Lytechinus pictus: one gene and its partner. The protein of the gene in region 1 interacts with the protein of each later gene in a pairwise test. Links are inferred from orthologs where the notes say so. Each region holds a gene or a part of one and is shown in the gene's direction. Other genes may lie near its edges.

Region 1 (9,459 bases):
CAATCATGACAATCGACAAGTGCATGTCTGAAAGTATTTCAATCCCGTCTAGGTAAGGATTTAGAAGTATTTTTGATTGATTCCATCCAGTCTACAGTTATTTACTCAAACAAAGTAAACACTTTTCTTTAAAGTAGAGGACTTTGTTTAGAAGAATGAAAAAGATTTCCCTGTCACGGCGCGACTTCGAACATTCCTGTAAGTCTGGCCGTCATCGGAAGCGATCCTCGTCGTGAATGAAACGGACTGATGCTAACAGCTGACGTTTTCGACGGTCCGGGGAAGTAAAAGAGGAAGAAGATGTTTGCATCAGATGTTTTCTCCCGTCGGCCAAGGAAGGATGCCGAGAGAGTGAAACTTCTAATCCCGGTGTCTTAACTGGAGGAGACGTCTTTTGAGATGGGTGACGAGCTGAGCCACAAAGAGGAAGGCATTTAACTATTCCGCGCGGGGTACCATTTCTTGTCCGTCCGTCAAAATACTAAGTAGTTGATGTGCTGAATTGTTGGGAGTGCTGAAGGCCTATAGTGTTTTGGATCTTGCCCCAGAGTGGATGAAGAAAAGTCATAGAAAGTTTTGAGTGTTTTATTTTGCAAAATTTACTGATGCGGGAAAGACAGGCAGAAATATAGGTAACACTGAGATAGGAAGAAGGGGAGAGATGGGAGCAGTGCTTCCACAACTTAAAACTGGAATTCGGCTTATTTGAGCTCCAAAATTTCCTTAAATTTTGACAAAATTCCTTGAATTAGAGTCTGGAGAAAACCTGTCTATATTTTTGCTTTACAAGCCTAGTTTTTCACTGATCATGTAGAATGTTGCATACATGTATTAACAGATCAAATGCTAAGCCTAATAATAGTTGCTGAATGTTCAGGCACAGAGAAGAAAGTAAAGAAACAGAACTAACAGAAACGTCTTTATGCACAGTATGGTAGTCAGTGGCGCGCCGTGGGTCATGGCATTGGGGGGGGGGGCACCAGCAAAAATGTTGAGTCACTTAGTGGGCGCGCGAAGTGCGCTCAATTGCCACATAATTATATAACCTAATAGAGATATTTTAAGGACGGTGTCATTAAACGGTTATGTATCTCACTTATCAAATAATGCGAGCGCGAAGCGCGAGCTGATTTTTTTTTATATTCAGACCTAAGAAAGGCTATCATGAGCAAAGTTTTGTAATCATGATACGTATCTAAACAAACAATGCGAGCGCGAAGCGCGAGCTGAAATTTTTGTATATTGGCCCGAAACAGGGACATTTTAAGGACTGTTTAAGGGAATTTATAAAGAGCATATATATCTCACCATAGTCATCTAATGCGAGCGCCATGCAAGCGCTTGCTGATTTTGTTAGAATTACAGCTTACCCATGAAACACATTTTGCAGTCATTGTAATCATGAACATGATACATATCTGACTACTCAACTATTGCGAGCGCGAAGCGCGAGCTGAAAATTTTTGAAATTCAGACCTGAAGAGGGGCATTCTAAGGCTTGTTTGTAGTAATTCAATAAGACCATTATACGTATTTCATTAACCAAATGATTTTCCTCCGTTATTTTTTTTTGCCCCCCGTAGTTACGCCACTATGGACTCTATTGTGAGTTGTGTGCAGTGCACACAACTCACAATAGCTTAGTCCAGAGCTATAGTTATCACTGTGCGCAGATAAAATACATGTCTCAGCATGCCAAGGAAAAAGAAAGTATAGCACATCAGCCAGCATATAAGAAAATTTAAATAAATGTGGATTTAGTAGTCTGACATCCAGTCGTTTATTGTGTGAGAAATGAAACATTTTTAAGATTCATCATTATTTTTTTTCTTTATTTTCCTCGAAATTCAATCAATTTCCTTGAATTCTCAGATTTCCTTGGATTTCCTTAAACATTCCTAAATATTCCTTGACTTTTTTCATTTTTCCTTGTAATTCCTTGAATAGTCAAAATTCCTTTTAAAAATCCTTGTGGAGTCAAAAGATCCTTAAAATTCTCTAAAACAAGGAAATTTCCTTGCAAGTGGAAGCACTGGATGGGAGAGATACCCTGGAGAGAGAGAGAGAAGAAAGAGCTGAGAAGTGGGAGAGAGAGGGAGAGAGAGGTTAGAGGAGAAACGAAGAAAGAGCTGAGAATTGGGAGAGGGGGAGAGAGGGGGGGGGGAGAGAGGGAGTCGGAGGGGAGGGGGAGAGATCGAGAGAAGGGGGATGGGTCAAGAGGGGGCTGGGAGATGGAGAGGAAGAAAGTGTTAATATAGGGTTATTTAAAAAGGGGATTCTTAATTTCATTAGTGAGTAAAACATATTTGAAAAAAAAAACGTGCACACATATATTTTGTCGTCAATTTGCGTATATAGGCTTATTGGAGGATTTAGATAAAACAGAGTAATACCTTATATAATCATGATATTAAAAAAAAACATAACTATATACTGACCGATTTAAAATTACCATGAACAACATAACCTATACAGACCGATTTAAAATCACCATAAACAAGAAAACCTATTCTGACCCATTTAAAATCACCATACACTGACAAAGTTTTTGCAACCTATAACTGGTTGTCCGACTTTGTTTTGACTTCACCTATCTGCTTCTCTGACACGTCTCGTATTTCTTCTTCTTCTTTAAAAAAATGTATTTATCCAATAAGAGTAGCTTTATAGTAATTTTGATTCCCTTTAACTAATCATCACATATATATTTTCAATCTTTGCTTTTATTCTTAATCAACCGAGTATATTGACAAGTTTTCTTTTTCATGTTTGTTTTGTACTCTCTTTGTGCTTGAAATAATCATGAACAATTTGTTTTTTTTTTAAAGCGCCCTTCACCTCAGTCATCAGGGCGCTGATACCGTGTTATATTCAGTTCAAAACGCGTTAATATTCACTGGTAAAAATAACCAATTTTCTCGCGGTCGCTGCATGGCGGGTCCTCTCACAAATGCAGGCTTTTTTGCCTAAACTGTGTTGTTGGGTCCAAAATGCACAACAGTCGTTTCTTCACTTCAATGCCTTTACATACCGCACATTGAAGTCAACATATTCACTTGCTCCCTCGCTTATATTATTTTCTAGGAAGCTGATACCTAATATCCATATTATCTTGTCTGGATAAGCCATTTATTTTAGCTTTGCATTTAAGTGTGAAAGAAAATAAAATTTGTATGCATCTGTATATAAAAATCGCCACCGTAGGAGGGACCAACCCATCGCACCATTCCCCCCGATTGCCCCCCTCTCCTCCTCCTGGATGCGGCATAGTCTGCAGGCACAGACCCTGATTGAAACTTTTTTCATCATGGTATATTGGTATTCACACGCAAATAAAAGACTAGCTCATATTAAAACTTTAGTGAGAGGACGTTCAGTACACGAGGCTTTATAGGCTTCACATTCAGACACTTAACTCAAGTGAGGGTTTTGCAGAGCAGACTAGCTGCGGCACGCAGTCTGTGATCCACCCAAAGACCTTAGGGGATCCACCCCATGCAGGCTCCCACCCCCACCCCGACTCCCAGACTAACAACTTTCTCGACTCCATCTCCCTCTATATTTTCATTTTATAATATGACTAAAGATTTTACTGTATGGGGAGATACCAGTCTTTCAGCCAATCTGTTAAACCAAGATTTATTCAGACATGATCTGACGTTGCTCACTTTAGAAAAACAATCATGCTAATTTTTGTTTTTACACAGGATTTTCGATATGTTTATGTCAAAGTCACTTTTCAAAATGGGCACAATTTCATATTACAGCATGGTCACAACAAATACAAGGTCGGTCATAATGGGAAGGGGGGGGCATTGGGGCCAACCTATAGGGCATATGAGACCATGACTTTCGATCGCCTCAGGTTGAATTAATTAATAATCTCTGTATACTAGAGTAGATAGTATCTGTAGACATGGCAGAAACAACCAGCAAATAGACGCTCCTCGATCTTCTTCTAATTTTTCATGAAAACGGGTTCTGTTTCATAAAACTTGTTATAATGACAATTTGGTAAAAAAGCAATTAAAATCGATTTGATTGGCTGATGGTAAACTTGTTATAGAAATTGTGCAATCATTAAGTCTTATGAAACGGGCCACTATTGGATACAGAGGCAGGGCCGATGATCGGAAGGGGGGCGGGGATGATCGCCCCTATGTCGCCCCTATGCTTTTTCAATAAAAAAAGGGGAAGCCGGAAGGAAAGTGAAGAAGATGGATGAAAATTAGGCCTAAATGAAATTTTTATATGCCATGTTTCTCTATTCAATCGAGAAAAATGAATTAAATGACACCTTTGCGGGGCGTCTTAAACTAACCCCAAAATTATTCTGGCCCAATTCTTGCAGGAGAGATTATTACAGGTTGATTTATCTTATCGTTATTCATTCGTTTTCTTGTCAGTGGAGGGGAGCTAGGGTGGACCAAATTTCATCATCCCTTTTTATTTTTTATTTAATCAGTAACCCTAATATATAAGGCAATCTGACTGGGTTCCCTTGCACTGAAGTGCATTATCTCCCTTATAAGATTTTCATATAGGCCTATTAAATTTAAAAAAAATCCCTTTTGTGCTCTTTCACGAAATTAGGATCAAATTCCAAAACATTCTTCAGTTTTGGCAAAAGGGAAACCACTTGAGAGAGTCTGAGAGGAGTGGGGATGGTCGGGGGGGGGGGGGAAGATTTGAAAGCCATACCCATTTAAAGGATATTGATTATTATTGTGACAGAAAAGGGTATAGGCCTATATTAATTAAATATTTTCTTCCAAAAGGAAAAGAGACCCACGTTTGCAAGCAAAAGAAGGGGGGAAGGCAATCGCTTCGAAATGAATTTAGTTTGGTAGCCAGATATACATTTGACAAGCACATGCAAAAGATAAGTTTTAAGCCCCCAGCATATCCCCAGGATATTGTCCGGGATATTGTGGGGGCTCACGCCCCACCAGACCCAGGCACCAGACATGAATAGCTACAGGGTATAACGGGATAGGTAATTATTGTGGTTTAATTGAATTCGTGTTTCTTTATCTTCTGTTTCATTAGAGTACCATTAAAAATGAATGCACTGACAGTACCATCTTGCACTCTCCTCTGTCTCGTACAACCTTTGAACTTTTTGTTTTCAAATGACGTCATTGTCATATGAGCTGTATACCATTTGCACAATGCACAGTATATCGCTTTGTGTTATGTTGTGCACCAAAGTATCGCGTATGGTCATGAATGTATTTGCATTCGTTTGACTCTGCCTTATTTAAATGCAACTTTTAAACGATTTCGAAGCTGAAATCAATGATTTCAGAGTACGTTTCATCTTGTAACTTATTCTGCATTTGAATGAGCACGATGGCAGCCGATGAACGGCCGAGCAGACTGAAAAACAGGAAACCGGTTTTAATGAACAAATTGGAAGGTTGCAGCGGAAAGGTGAACAGTGTTGTGATTATCCCCAAAGAAGATGGAGTGATTAGTGTGAGCGAAGATAGGTAAGATTCTTGAAGTTGAAGGTCTGAAAGAATTTTCTTTATTGAGACTAATTGGTTTAAGAAAATGAAGGGGGAATGGAGGGTATCGTTTTTTTAATATGGAGCATTTTAAACTTAGTGTTACTGTTACTTTCTATAACTTAGTTTCAATTTTTTCATGACATTTGTCTGATGATTTGTCAGGGAAAGAGAGATTAAAAACAACAACAAAACATTGTGATGACTGGCTCTGAGTGATGGTGGAGTTAGGGTCAAAGACACACACTTTGTATTCAAAGGCTTGTGCAATCACATGATGGGGTAATCATGTAACCCAACCAATCGAGAAAAGGTCCTACCCACTGGGCAATTTGTTACCGATTACCAATTTTACCGGTTATTACCGGTAATATCACCCGGAAATTTGAGTAACACCAAATATTACCGTTATTACCATGTTATTACCGAAATTATAATTCCTGTTGATACCTGTTACTGTTATCACCCTGATGAAACCTACATTTACCTAGTTACAACAGGGTGATGAGGGGTAATAAGGGTAATGTTGAATGACTTTGATTGCATGGTTATAACATTGCAGACTTTAGTAATAAGAGCAATCTTACAGCAATCCCAGTGAAATTTTCAAAGTCCAAAAAATTACTGTTATCACCCTGATGAAACCAACATTTTACCCAGTTACAAACAGGTTGATAAGGGGTAATGGGTAATGTTGAAACGCTTCCATTCCCAGACAGCAAAGTATCTGGATCACATACGGTTCTTATCTGGGATATCTGGGTCCCATATGGGCCCACATGGAACCCAGATGAAAACATATACTTGAACCCACATGGTGCCCAGATAGGACTCAGATGGAAACGAGACCTCCAACCCATGCGGAACCCAGTAATATTGGGTAAATGGAGTAATATCAGATGGTAATATCAGGAAAATGCTGGGAATATTAGTTACTCATGAATATTCATTACTACAATAAATGGCCAAAATTTTAGCTAATATAGCTGTAATAATTAATGTGTTTATGTTTATGCAATTATTCCACCCAGAAAATTTTCAGAAAAATGTGTAGTTTATATATCATATTAGTCATAATCATGACATTAATTTTAGAAAAATGTTTTAGGGTTGAATAATTGTTAACCATAATTTGTCAAGTGTTGTAAACTCGCTCAATATACAGAAGTAAATGACAGGGTTTGGTGGATAGGTGTAGGATAGGATTAGGATTAGGATGTAGGATTTTAGGATAGGATAAGATGATATGGCTTAGAGTATGGAGTTGTAAAAATGTGCTTCAATGACCCTAATGACACTAATTGTTTTTTTAATGAGCCGACATTAATTGGGTAATATTGGGTAAACAGAGTAATATGAGGTGGTGATATCATTAAAATGCTGGAAATAGTAGTTACATCATACTGAGAAATATTGGGTAAATGGAGTAATATCAGGTCCAGGTAATAAAAGCGAAGGATTGGTCTACTATTTCCCTGTTATTACCCACTGTTGTTACCGTAGTAATATCCATGTTATTACCTGTTACAACCCGGGTAATGTCAGGTAAAATGCCCAGTGGGTAATTTCCTGAAATGTCAGGTTAACATGGTAACTGACCTTACGAGAAACAAAATCCCTAAATTCTCAAGAGGTCTGGTCCAATTTACCCAATGTTTTGTGAAAATTATAGCTTAAATATACAAAGCAGGGGCCGCGGAACCGGGGGGGCTGGGGGGGCTGAAGCCCCCCCACTTTTTTCCAAAACCGTGTACAAAAATGTAAAAATGACCATATGATTGTGATTTTTAGCATGGTCAGCCCCCCCACTTTTGGCTCAGCCCCCCCCCACTTTGAAAACCGTTCCGCGGCCCCTGCAAAGGGTTGGGTAAAATGGACCTTAAGTTTCAGGAATTTAGGGGGCCCTTTTCTTGTATTTTTTAAGGTTACACAAATTCCCGACCAGACGCAATAAACCTGATAAATTGCACAAGCCATATTCAAATGATCCGAACTGAAGTGAATGGCTTGAAAATAAAAGCTTAAACTTGTAATGATGTTTTATGCTGTTTTCATTATGATAGAAAAAAATATAACAAAAAATCACAATGGTCACAAAAGCAACAAATCATATCGAAATACTTCCTGACTGTATACCAGCCTCTCCCTTTTATTAAACCATATGTAAGTTGTCATAGGTGCTTGTTTTGGAAGGGGTCCTACAGCTATATACTTGTTTTTTTTTTTATGTGTCCGAGATGATGTGTCCATTCTTAAAGGAAAACAAGAAACACAGATCACAAGATGGGATGAATTAACGGTTTATGAACCAAATTTTCATTTGACAAAGTATGTTATTTAAGTGGAGGAAGTGGAAATTAGATCATCTGCCTATTTGACTAAATGACGGATTCTTGCATGTAAAGTGAGTATTAGACCAAGTGATAGTTTTAACCAAAAGACGTTTAGACCAATGTCATGGTGGGTTTTATAGTCATGGTTGTGTTCAATCTTGTCTGTTGCAAGAAATTTATCAACCATTTAGATTTTATTTCTCTTTTCTTTGACACTTGCAGGACTGTTCGGGTATGGCTAAAAAGAGATTCAGGAATGTACTGGCCTAGCATCTGTCATTCACTCTCAAGTAAGATTATAGGAGAATCAATATTTTTAGTTCAATTTTTTTTGGCATGATATATCAAATTCTCTGTTAAATTTTTGTTTATTCTTCATTATCTGCACATATTTTCAGGGCAAGGTCAAGCATTTCATGAAACAAAGATTTTCACGGTAAATTGCCAATTCGTCTATTGCCAACTCGTCCACTCATTAAATTTACATTGTCTCCCTTCATGTAGTCTAATGCCATTCCATCCATCAATATTTTTTCTAACAACCATTTGGTCCAATAATCATTTGGTCCAATCATCACTTCGTCTAATCACCATTTTTGTCTCGCCTGCATAGCAGAGCGAGACTATAGGCGCCGCTTTTCCGACGGCGGCGGCGGCGTCAACATCAAATCTTAACCTAAGGTTAAGTTTTTGAAATGACTACATAACTTAGAAAGTATATGGACCTAGTTCATGAAACTTGGACATAAGGTTAATCAAGTATTACTAAACATCCTGCCTGAGTTTCAGGTCACATGACCAAGGTCAAAGGTCATTTAGGGTCAATGAACTTAGACCTTGTTGGGAAAATTATTTTCAAAATCTTAACCGAAGGTTAAGTTTTTGAAATGACATCATAACTTAGAAAGTATATGGACCTAGTTCATGAAACTTGGGCATAAGGTTAATTAAGTATTACTGTACATCCTGCCTGAGTTTCAGGTCACATGACCAAGGTCAAAGGTCATTTAGGGTCAATGAACTTTGGCCAAGTTGGGGGTATTCTTTGAATTACCATCATAACTTTGAAAATTTATGGATTTAGTTCATGAAACTTGGACATTAGGTTAATCAAGTACCACTGAATATTCTGTGCGAGTTTCAGTTCACATGACCATGGTCAATGGTCATTTAAGGTCAATTAACTTTGGCCGTGTTGGGGGTATATGTTAAATTACTATCCTAACTATGAAAGTTTATGGATCTAGTTCATAAAACTTGGACATAAGAGTAACCAAGTATCACTGAACATCCCCTGTGAGTTTCAGGTCACAAAACCAAGTCAAAGGTCAGTTAAGGTCAATAAACTTAGGCCATGTTGGGGTAATTGTTGAAGTGCCATCATAACTTTGAAAGTTTATGGATAGAGTGAATGAAATGTGGACATGGGTGTAGTTGACAGTCTTAAGTCTCCGTTCAAATGTCATTTATGGTCAATGAACGTGGTATTATGTCATTATATGAATGATTATTTTATAGTAGTTTTCAAAGTTAGCACTGCTACTATATTAAATTGCGTAATGCAGGCGAGACTGCCAGAGGCGTTCCACTTGTTCTTATAACCAGTTGGTCTAATA
Region 2 (10,176 bases), on another chromosome or scaffold:
TCTCGCAACCAAGACCTCCAGCCCCAATCACCAAGACTTTCAGATGCTCCAACATGATACCAAGAAGCTATTAGGAAAGAATATAACAGAAATGAGAAGATACACTCGGTACAGACAGGTTTGATTCAGTTTCTTTTTTTTCAGGGCAAATAAAATATTGATAATATGCAATATATGTCAAAAACTTTCTCCACTTGTACAAAGATTAAAGTATACATCCGAAGAATCAAAAGTATTTTATAATGACTTTATGTGGTCATCATTGTAAAGGGGAAGTATTACTAATCAGATATATAACTTCACTTTTCAAAATAGTGATCAGAGTTTGCAGAAATCAGCTCTCAAAAATGATTTATTTTCATGCCATATTTCTGCCTTCCACCGGTCCTCTTGCGAGCTCCAGCTGAGTGACGTCACACAATGAGCAGAGCAGCTGAGCTGACAGCAGCCCATTGGAGACGATCTTTCCAATCAGCGTTTTTTGCTCTTAGAATTGTTTATTGCTCTTAATATTGGTCTTGTTATATAGATAAAAGTTTGAATTTACTGAACAGTGAAAAAAAGTGCACATTTAATGTATTTTGGTAACCGATATTTAGCTTAGAATTTTTTTTTTTTCAAGAAATATATGTGAATAAACAAAGCATATTTTCACGTAGAAATCACACTTGCGTCACATTAATATTATAAACAATATAAAGCATAGACATTCTTCTTTATGACTGAACAAAAATTATGAAATTTCATTAAGTAGCAAAGTCAGGAACCACAAAAAAAACACGGCAATATCCATCGCGAAATGACTGAAATTGCAGTTGAATTGCCGAAGCATTATTAGGCAACAGCGGCGAGCGGACTTTATTTCATATATCTTAAAAATGCCTCTCCGGTAAGGCAATGGTCTGTGGCCAAATGCGTTGGCCAATGTTTTGTCATGTGCGAGGACCCTGGTTCGAAACTCGGATTTTTTTTTCTGGGCATTTTTTTTAAATTCCTTCCCCGTCCCTACCCATCTTTTTTTCTCTTTTTATTTTCTTGTGAAATTCTATTCAGACCTGTATTTATCAAATCTTGCTTCTTAATTGCTGCTTTTGATTTTCAAGTTCTTGATTAGATTATTTCTACTCTTATTTGGGATGGGAGGGGTAGAGTTAAAAGTCAAGTCCACATCAACTAAAAATTATTTGAATAGAGTAATTTCCCTTGTTGTTTTTACTCAAAACAGTCATATACACAAAACAATGATATGCAAATTAGAGTTGTCACTCACATCACATTCGTTTCTATTTTTTGTGGCATTTTGTTTTTTATTCTTTGCAGATTTGACGATAGGAAACTCTTCATCTGATCACAATAGGTTATATTTACGGAACTGTTAAAATAGTGATTATATAAATTTGAATCAAAGTTTTTATGAAATTTCCTGCAATATCTTGTTATTTTTCTTTAAATTCAAATGAATTTTTGATTGCGTGGACTTCTCCTTTACTCTTAATGTAGGGAATGCATAGCAAAATTTATCCAGAAACAAAATTGTCTTAGAATATGCAAATCAGTAATTGGACACATGTTCACTTTTCTTTCATCCAGGCCACTTCCTCACATCCACCAGGCTTTCAGTCTTATAACAAAAATGATGAACCATCACACAACAGCACACAACATTCACAGTGCTTCACAATAAATATTTCACTTCTGTTCATACATGCAATAAATATTGTGGAAAACAAATAAAAGGCGTACCCATATTCAAATACCGTTTAAAAGGACAAATATATTATACCTTTCGAGAAAAATCAGCACGTTAAATATCTGATAACAAAACATAATTATGGGGCACTGCAAGAAACTTATGTTCAATTGCAAATCAAGCGTAAGTCTTAAATTCAAATTCAAGCGTAATAAGGTCGAGTTGCAATCGCAATTCAACTACATGTTTAATCAAAGGACTTACCCTTGATTTGGGACGTGTGATTGAGTATAACATTTCTCGCAAAATGCCCTAGTAACATTAAAATTGTTCTTTCGTTTAAAGTTGTGTGTTATTATTTTTGACAAGCTGTATTCCTGTCCAAGTCAAATTTCTTAGTTCTCTCCAAAACTGTGCTCAAAATTGTTTCCAAGATTGATAAAGAAAATTTTTCTTTTGTATCATTATCAGTCCACAACTTGCAAACCGTAGGTCCTGGAAAGAGTGAAGAAAAAAATGGCTATATCCAAATCATAGTAAAAGGACATGATGGAATCTCCCAGATTGAGGTAGCAAGCAGAGACCAGAAGTCACCAGAGTCAGCAATTGTGCAGATCTGTGTGTAGAAGAGAGAAAAAAAGAAATAGTTTAAATAATCAAATCAAAGTATGAATTTAATTATCGTGATGATTGATGACGTGCGGTGGCATGTAATTCCCGGTCAACAACAAATGATAGTAGGTTAAGACACCTGAAAAGTTCCACTCAGAACACTGGTGCTCTACCTCAAGTGATGTTTGTGCAGGCCCCACTCCACTTCACTACCGCTACACTACCGTACATGTACGCCACACCTACCCGGGTAGGTGTGTAGCGTAGTGTAGGCTGTAGCAGTAGTGAAGTGGAGACTACACGAACATCACTTGAGGTACGGTGCTCTCTGAGTCTCTGTGTCATTACAAAGATTGCATTTATCTTCATTGTTGAAGGCATTACGCATGCATATATGCAGCAACACTCTTATCAGAAAGAAACACCAGACTCTAAAAGTCTAATTTTGGCCGGCACCCAAGGGTTCATTACATGCCGCCGCGCAAAGAAAATTCAAGCCATAGAAGTCGTGTGTTGTGGACCCAAGAAGTGAGATCCCAGCACGCGCGACCCACTAGTTAGAAATCCACTGCCAAACGCGGTTCGTGGTGCGAGGTTAGTATACTAATACTAACCTCGCAATACGTGTGAGTGATTTTGGCCAGGAATCAGGGTAATCACTGCTGAAAATTTGTCTGGCTTCAAGACATCGGCATCATGGTGATATATTTCTGTGTATAATAAAAACTTAAACATTCCTCTGAAACAGCAGATTTTCAGCCATGGTCCATACCAGTGCTCCTAAATAATTTAATCGCCTGCCTGAGTCCTGACCAGTTTTAGAAATCTGAAGAAAAAATCTGCTGGAATTGTGCAAAAACATTATTTCTAAAATAAAGACTTTTTAATTTTAATAGTATACGCCAAAATGCATGATTCTAAACTTATATCAGATCTGTATCTGTCATCTGACCTGAATGCATCGTCAGAACAAGTACAGTTTCCAAACATGCTTACCTTGACTTTTGACTGGATCAAACAGCGTAACCTGCAACATGCATCGGGAGCAAGTGAATGGGACCGTGCAGCTTGGAGTTTTTCAATAGTTAGTAGAGCAACACAACGAAGACTGTCGAGTGGACAAAATCAATCTTTCCAGTTCACAATTCAATAAAAACCGGGCAAAATAACACAGTTCTGGTTCCCTTATAGTCTGAAGTTGTCGAAAACAGAATTCGGATATCACAATACATGAAGAAAACGGTAAATTCGAAGAAAAATAGAGACCAGGAAGGTGAATCAGCTATCAGTGTACTGCTGGCTTGAACAGAGCTAGAGAGCGGCTGAGTGAGTCGATCATCATGTGACGTCATTATTCTCGACTGTATTTAATCGCGTTAGTGTGTGTCTGGGGGCGGCTGGGGGGCTGAGAAGGGTCTCTAATAATTTCATATCTTGCATTTCCACGACATCAATAAGACTTTTTAGTGACATATTTGTGTATAAAAAGACAAGACCTTTCCATTCATATATAATTTGTCTATAATCATCACTTTCGTGAATTTTCTTTGGATGTATACTTTAATAATAATAATAGTCAGTTCTTGTATAGCGCATAATACATTATGAATAACGTCTAAATGTGCTTCCAAAGGACTTGGATATTATTATATACCTTCTTTGTGATTAAGTGATATTTAGTGATTAATAATTGTTCCACAGAAATCTCCTACAGGTCTTTGTGACATTTGTTCAATTTTATCTGAATCATTATCATTATTTACATTTCATCTAAATTTCAGTTAAATTGGTTGGTTTTACAAAAAGTCTGTTTCTGTAGCTTTTCTTTGATGTTAATTTAAATTTCATGCAAATGATTAACAAATTGCATTTAAATTTAATTCCAATTTTTAAGTAATGATTGGTCCACAAGAAAATCTCACTCTGTGATATTTCTTTAATTTTATCAAAATTCAATATATATCATTATTACTATTTAAATTTCATTCTCAATTTCATTAAAAATGACAAAGTATATAACTGGTCCATAAAAAAATATGTTTGTGTGATATTTTCTGATGCCTCATACCCTATTTTACTGACATTTTTCCCCCTTAGCTTTGTCAAAAATTGCTGAAATGAGGGTTAACTAATCATATAAAATAGAAAAAAAAATTGAATCAATACATAGTCATTTTATTACCTTTATTACCTTTATTACCGGATCTACTGGAAAAATGCAATTACTTATGCAGTCGTGTTTCCAGGTCTATCACTGTTGCTATCTCCATCTAACTATTAAAATAACGTGTGCCTGTGTGCTGTGCCAGAGTTACTATTCCCAAGGGTGAGTATATTGCACTGCAGACCAAAACTTGTCTAACTGTGACTTGAATCTGTTCAACGTTGATGTAGTAACTATCTCTGCCGGCAAGGAGTTCCAGTCATTTACAACTCTGGCACTGAAAGTATTTTTTCTAACATCCAGTCTGCTTCTCTTCACATACAATTTGCATAGATGTCCACGTGTTGTCTGAGTTGATGCAGATGTAAAGAACATCTCCTTGTTCAAATCATCAATGCCATTGATGATCTTGTACGTCTGTACAAGATCTTGTACATATCACTATGTGCTGGTGAGTGGTCTGCATACCAAGCAGGTATTTTTGAGATGATTAAACATAATAAAAGATGAGGCATTATAATTCAATAAAAATTCAACCTTTAAAAGCTTAAATTTTGAAAGATATAGAGCCTACCTCTGAACTTGGCTCAAATTCTGGAGTAGCCAAAGGTCCTGATCTTTCCAATAGTTTTCTGATGTGTGTCCATCGTCCTGACCAGTCTGCTGTTTCTGGACTGTCCACTGTCATCCTGGAAAAAGGTAAGAAATATGATAAATTCACTCAGGGTTGCTTTATACATAACTGATTTACTTTTTAAAGAATTGGACATTCCTGTTTTTGGAAACTAAACACTTATTTGAACCTGAGTTCAACTGCCCTGATTTTCTAAAAGAAGTTCTTGCTTCAACAACTTTCAAAAGTGACAAAAGCATGAAACGCGATGAAGTTACTTCGCAAGTTACCAAAATCATGCGAACATACTGCAAACGTAAGGGCGAGCTGTCGTACTTTGCTAACTTCAGTCCATATCTGCATTACAGTGAATCCAAGAGAAGCGCTGTCTGCATGAAAATTTGAATGACAACATAGAGATCTAAGCGAAGCGGACAGCAATTCCAAAAACCCAATCGCGAAATTCGGAAAAGCATTATTGATCTTGATTTGAGACTTGCTATGATATTTGTGAACAATTACTGGTGGGGAAATTATCTCAAAGTCGGCCGGTGCGAAGCTGCATTAGCGCCAAGTAGAGAATCGGGGCCCCTGCAAGAAAGCCGCAGTCACTCACATTCAATCGCGTCCGCCAGTATCATACTCTGGACCTACATCACAATTATAAACATATGGGACTGTACAACTCAACAAAAGCACAACCCCAACATAATTGACAAATACGTACGGTTCTTCCGCCATTTTTACAAATTGTAGATACTATTCGAAAGTTCAGAAGCTATAGAATGTATTTTGGATGATCAAAAATATCAAAATAAGTCCTTTGTGGAGAGTTTGACATGAATATTAGCAGAAGTTTCCCCCACAAGTTCTGGCAGAGATACTAGTCGCAAATGTTCTCCGACTGCTGCCGGAGCTGGCGCTCGTGAAATTTGACGTCAACATCGCAATCATGGATGATATTGAAATCCCTCCTCTTCGTTCTTTGGATGATTTCATCAAGGAATCGGCCAGATTTTCTGCCCCAGCCCTAGGAAATCCAACCAGATGGGCCAATCGGGTGATAGATAATTTATTGTACTACCAATCGAATTATTTCCTCACTCTTATCGTCATTTTCCTTATTGTTGGGTGAGTGCGTTGCCCCATGCACCTTTATTTGTGTTGGAAAATTGATGAATGATGTTGTTTGGAATGGGCGTGGTCATCACTTCTTTTATTTTATCAGGTGTCAGCATTTAATCAAAGACTGGTTTCCCAGATGTTTTAGCAAACAGATTAAAGTTAAACAAAATGTTGAAGAAGCTCTCACACATAGTGCATGAGTGGATCGTAATACCGAACACTGTAAATATCAGTGTACCGGTATGACTATGAATTCAATCATATCAAACACAAAATTCTTATAAAATTCAACAAACTCATACTCTTAACATGAATACACAAAGAGCTATGACATATTAATATGTAAACATTTTGCCGAAATCATTTTTCTTTTTTACGATATCAGCTACTAGTCGGACCCCTCTTCGCATGTGAAATATATTATTTTTGGTCCCTTGAAAATGGTATTGTAATTACCGAACATGTGTTTTCCATGTAAAAGTTGAAAAAACAGCAAAATCACTGATGTTGAGAATATAAAGACTTAGAAAATGTGTTTTTGACCATTTTTCATTATCCTTCTATTCAAGTTCCATTTGGAAGGATATTGCAAAGCTTTTAGCTTATGAAATTATTTTCTGACGCCTATGATTCGTGCGTTTGGTAATACAAGGAATGGAATATGGAATATGATACTAGTTGTCATCAGACTACCCAAAAATATTTTATTAGAATTTAGATCTAAGCCTTGAAGATTGTTATTGTTTGAGAAGACAAAGAAAATGAAAATAATAGCAAAATTACTGCTGATTATATGACAATCTGATGCATTTAGTAAAAATATTTATACCCAAGTCATGCATGTTCTGACAAGTTGTAGGCAATATGAAAATTTCATGCACTCTGCAAGCAATATTTCATAAAATGAAGTTTGGACAAAATTTCAGATTACAAACTTTCACATACATTTGTGCTTGACATTAGTTTTTGTTGTAATCAAGGCATAAGATGATGCTTTTATCTACTAACATGTCAGGACATTGCCCCCCATAATTATAAAGACAAATATATCAATATTGTATGAATACAATGATATAGTTGGCCATTTCCTTTCATATTCTGCAGCTGTATAAACCCTGTTCAGATGTTATGGGGCTTAGCCATCGTGATCGCAGCATTCTTCGGATTTGGTTACTGGTCTGCCAATAAGAGAGAAGTAAACGATTTCAAGAAAGCCCATCCAGTGATCTGTCTAATTGCACTCTGCTTGGTGATCTGGCTTTTCATGTATCTCTTTGGAAGTATTCTCGTTCTCATCTGGGGCTTGGCTGCACCAGCAGCTGGTAAGACTCGTGGGGCATTGCAAGAAAGTTGCAGTCAATTCGGTGGATTCACCATACGGTGCGGCATCTATCGGTTGCAGCAGACAGGCCAATTTCTAACTTCGGGGTCGACATGACGCGCAGGCGCAGGCAGCGCACAGTGTTATGTGACTGATTCTTCAAAAATGAAAACCATATGGCATGAAGCAGAGTAAGAATTCATCAAAAAACGGTCTAAATTTCGCAAATAAAAATGCAGTAAATTTCCCTCCCACCTCCTGGACCCTGGTACACTGCATGATTTTATGGAAGCCGGCCAAACCGCATCAGCCAGTGCAGCATTTCGCATGCATGCACACAACAGAATAGGTGATACACCATATTGTGAATCCACCGAATTGCAAGTCAAGTTTAGGTCCCAATATCAACCATAACTCTAGCAATTAATGCTTGCCTGCTCGTCTGCTTCTTGCAGTAAGAAGTAAACATCAATTTTGCTATAGTTACAATCGATAGAAATTTACAATTGATTGCAGATATTTTCTTGTGACACTACATGTATTTCAGAAACCTTTTGTTTGAACATATGGGTCTCAAATGTTTTATGACAGCAACAGTTACAATGAATTTAGGCCTACTACAAAAAAATGTTAAATTAGAAGGCTAGGTGTCCAGACACATTACTTCCTATCTTTCAGGAAATATTGAGTAATTCCGTTCAAAGAGGTCAAATTGTCATGAGGAAGTTGAAAGAGGAATCCCAATAGTTTTTTTAATCAATGGGTTTTTAATTTGCCGGTAATATTTTCATTTGTTTATGATTCACATGTACACAGTCATGTGTGTGATCTTTAGGCAGAATGGTCATTCACATTTCGGACTTTACATTTCAATAATTTTCAGGCAAGGCCATTTTTCTCAATGGGAATTTTTCTATATAATGGCATAAATGGGAAACCTATGACTTTGTGCTTATAAAGTAATCTTTACAGACAGTGAGGGAAGTACATGTATGAAGGCCAATCAATAGGGTATCTATAGCTTTGGATTACATCAAGCACTACGATGATTGCAGATTTCTTGAAAGTAAGAGCGCATGTGTAATTCTGAAGGAAAAAAATATATACAGCAAGTCCCTGAGGGTGCACACATCATTGGTGGTAATGGCTTCCTGAGTGATTTTAATGATGGTTTGCATTTGTTTCAATTTTTTTGTGTGATTATCAGAATCTTCATTCTTCTTTGTCTTCCTACAGTGATCTTCATCCACGCCTCCCTGCGGATGCGCAACATGAAGAACAAGATGAGCAAGAAGCTGGAGTCCCTTGGTCTAAAGAGAACACCCATGGGCATCATCCTCTTTACCATTGGTCTGGAGGAGCAAGCAAGGTCATGACTAGAGAAAATGGGGTTTCAACTGTGCAACCAGAGACTGCTTGAAGGCAACGAGCACACCTTCAGGCATCGTTTGGAGAGAGGCGAGGAGGTAGAGGGAAGCTGGTACCACGTACCTCACGAAGGAGAGGTAGTCACTCCCCGTCAACAATCATTTCGTACATTGGCGACTTTAGGAATAATTATGAAGACCCTTCTCCCATCAAGAAATAAGTCTTCTTCAAGTAAGTCATCTGAAAATCGTTCGTCTGGAAGTAAACTTTCGCAAAATCGTCCACAATCACTTGCTCCTGTTGAGCTGGCACAAGAAGCAAAAGAAGATGTTGTTACTAAACAACCAAGAAAAATAAAGTTTAGCTACAAACCTAAATTGGATTAAGAATCAATATATTACAGATCATTGACTCTGGCAAAAGGTTGGTACTGTTATTGAGTAATAAAAAAAACCACTTTTACCGGAAGCCAAGAGTATTTATGGATAACTATTTCAAAGTATAACAAAACTATATATTATTCAGGGTTTATTAAAATTACACAATTGGATGTTCTTTCAAAGAATGTCATCTCCCGCTAGATGTGGCACAACTGAAATACAAGTTATTCACAAAATATTGTACGGGGTTTTGTACATTGCCCTTGCATATTTGTGAAAATCAATTTCATGGACAAGTATACAAGCTGTACTTCTTTGTATTAAAACAATTGATGAGTCCAGACAAGTAGTTTTGATACAGTTTGCAAATTTTGAACTTTACAATTTAATATTTATGATAACAGTATTTATACATGTTTAGCCTATAAATAAGCTTATTAATAAATGCAATGTGTCAGGACTGTTTGTTGTGAATGGGAATTATTATTTTTTATTTGTAACAAGTATCATATACATGTAGTTGTTATTCCTACTAATAATGGATTCATTATAATTTTATAACTTAACTAAGAATGGGATATATCTTTAGTAGTTTAGTCTAATGGGAAACATGCTTATGGTCACAGATATATGTAGTGAATGGTATTAGGTGGTCAGGTGAAGAATATAGAGGGAAATGTATGAAGAAAGACACAGCCAAAGTAAAAAGAAAGAAATAGTGCATATATATTGTTTTCATGGTGTTCCTTCTTCACTTCAACTCATATGGACAGTAATAGTAATTGCATACTTGCCAAGAATGTATCAATACATCCTAAAAAACTAAATCATTAAGAAGTATTGTCTATGTATAAACAGTAGAGAAAAAAATTTCAATATCTTTCATTTTCTTTGAATCTCCAC

Evidence for each region.
Region 2: the proteins of WD repeat and FYVE domain-containing protein 2-like (region 1) and PRA1 family protein 2-like interact in a two-hybrid assay, tested with the Caenorhabditis elegans proteins (2 studies listed by BioGRID). The link is inferred for Lytechinus pictus from reciprocal best matches to the Caenorhabditis elegans genes wdfy-2 and praf-3.

The regions. Positions count from the first base shown.
Region 1 is NC_087260.1:22,059,641-22,069,099, forward strand, and holds the start of WD repeat and FYVE domain-containing protein 2-like, read left to right. Parts: upstream 1-5,140; 5' UTR 5,141-5,343; coding exon 5,344-5,492; intron 5,493-8,065; coding exon 8,066-8,133; intron 8,134-9,459. UniProt on the Caenorhabditis elegans protein: Plays a role in coelomocyte endocytosis.
Region 2 is NC_087247.1:8,073,324-8,083,499, reverse strand, and holds the start of PRA1 family protein 2-like, read left to right. Parts: upstream 1-5,655; 5' UTR 5,656-5,806; coding exon of another isoform or gene 5,807-5,820; 5' UTR 5,821-6,031; coding exon 6,032-6,210; exon of another isoform or gene 6,211-6,260; intron 6,261-7,308; coding exon 7,309-7,526; intron 7,527-8,761; coding exon 8,762-8,901; 3' UTR 8,902-10,176. Other genes in the region: NEDD8-activating enzyme E1 catalytic subunit-like, read right to left, coding at 1-67, 5,041-5,155, 5,807-5,820.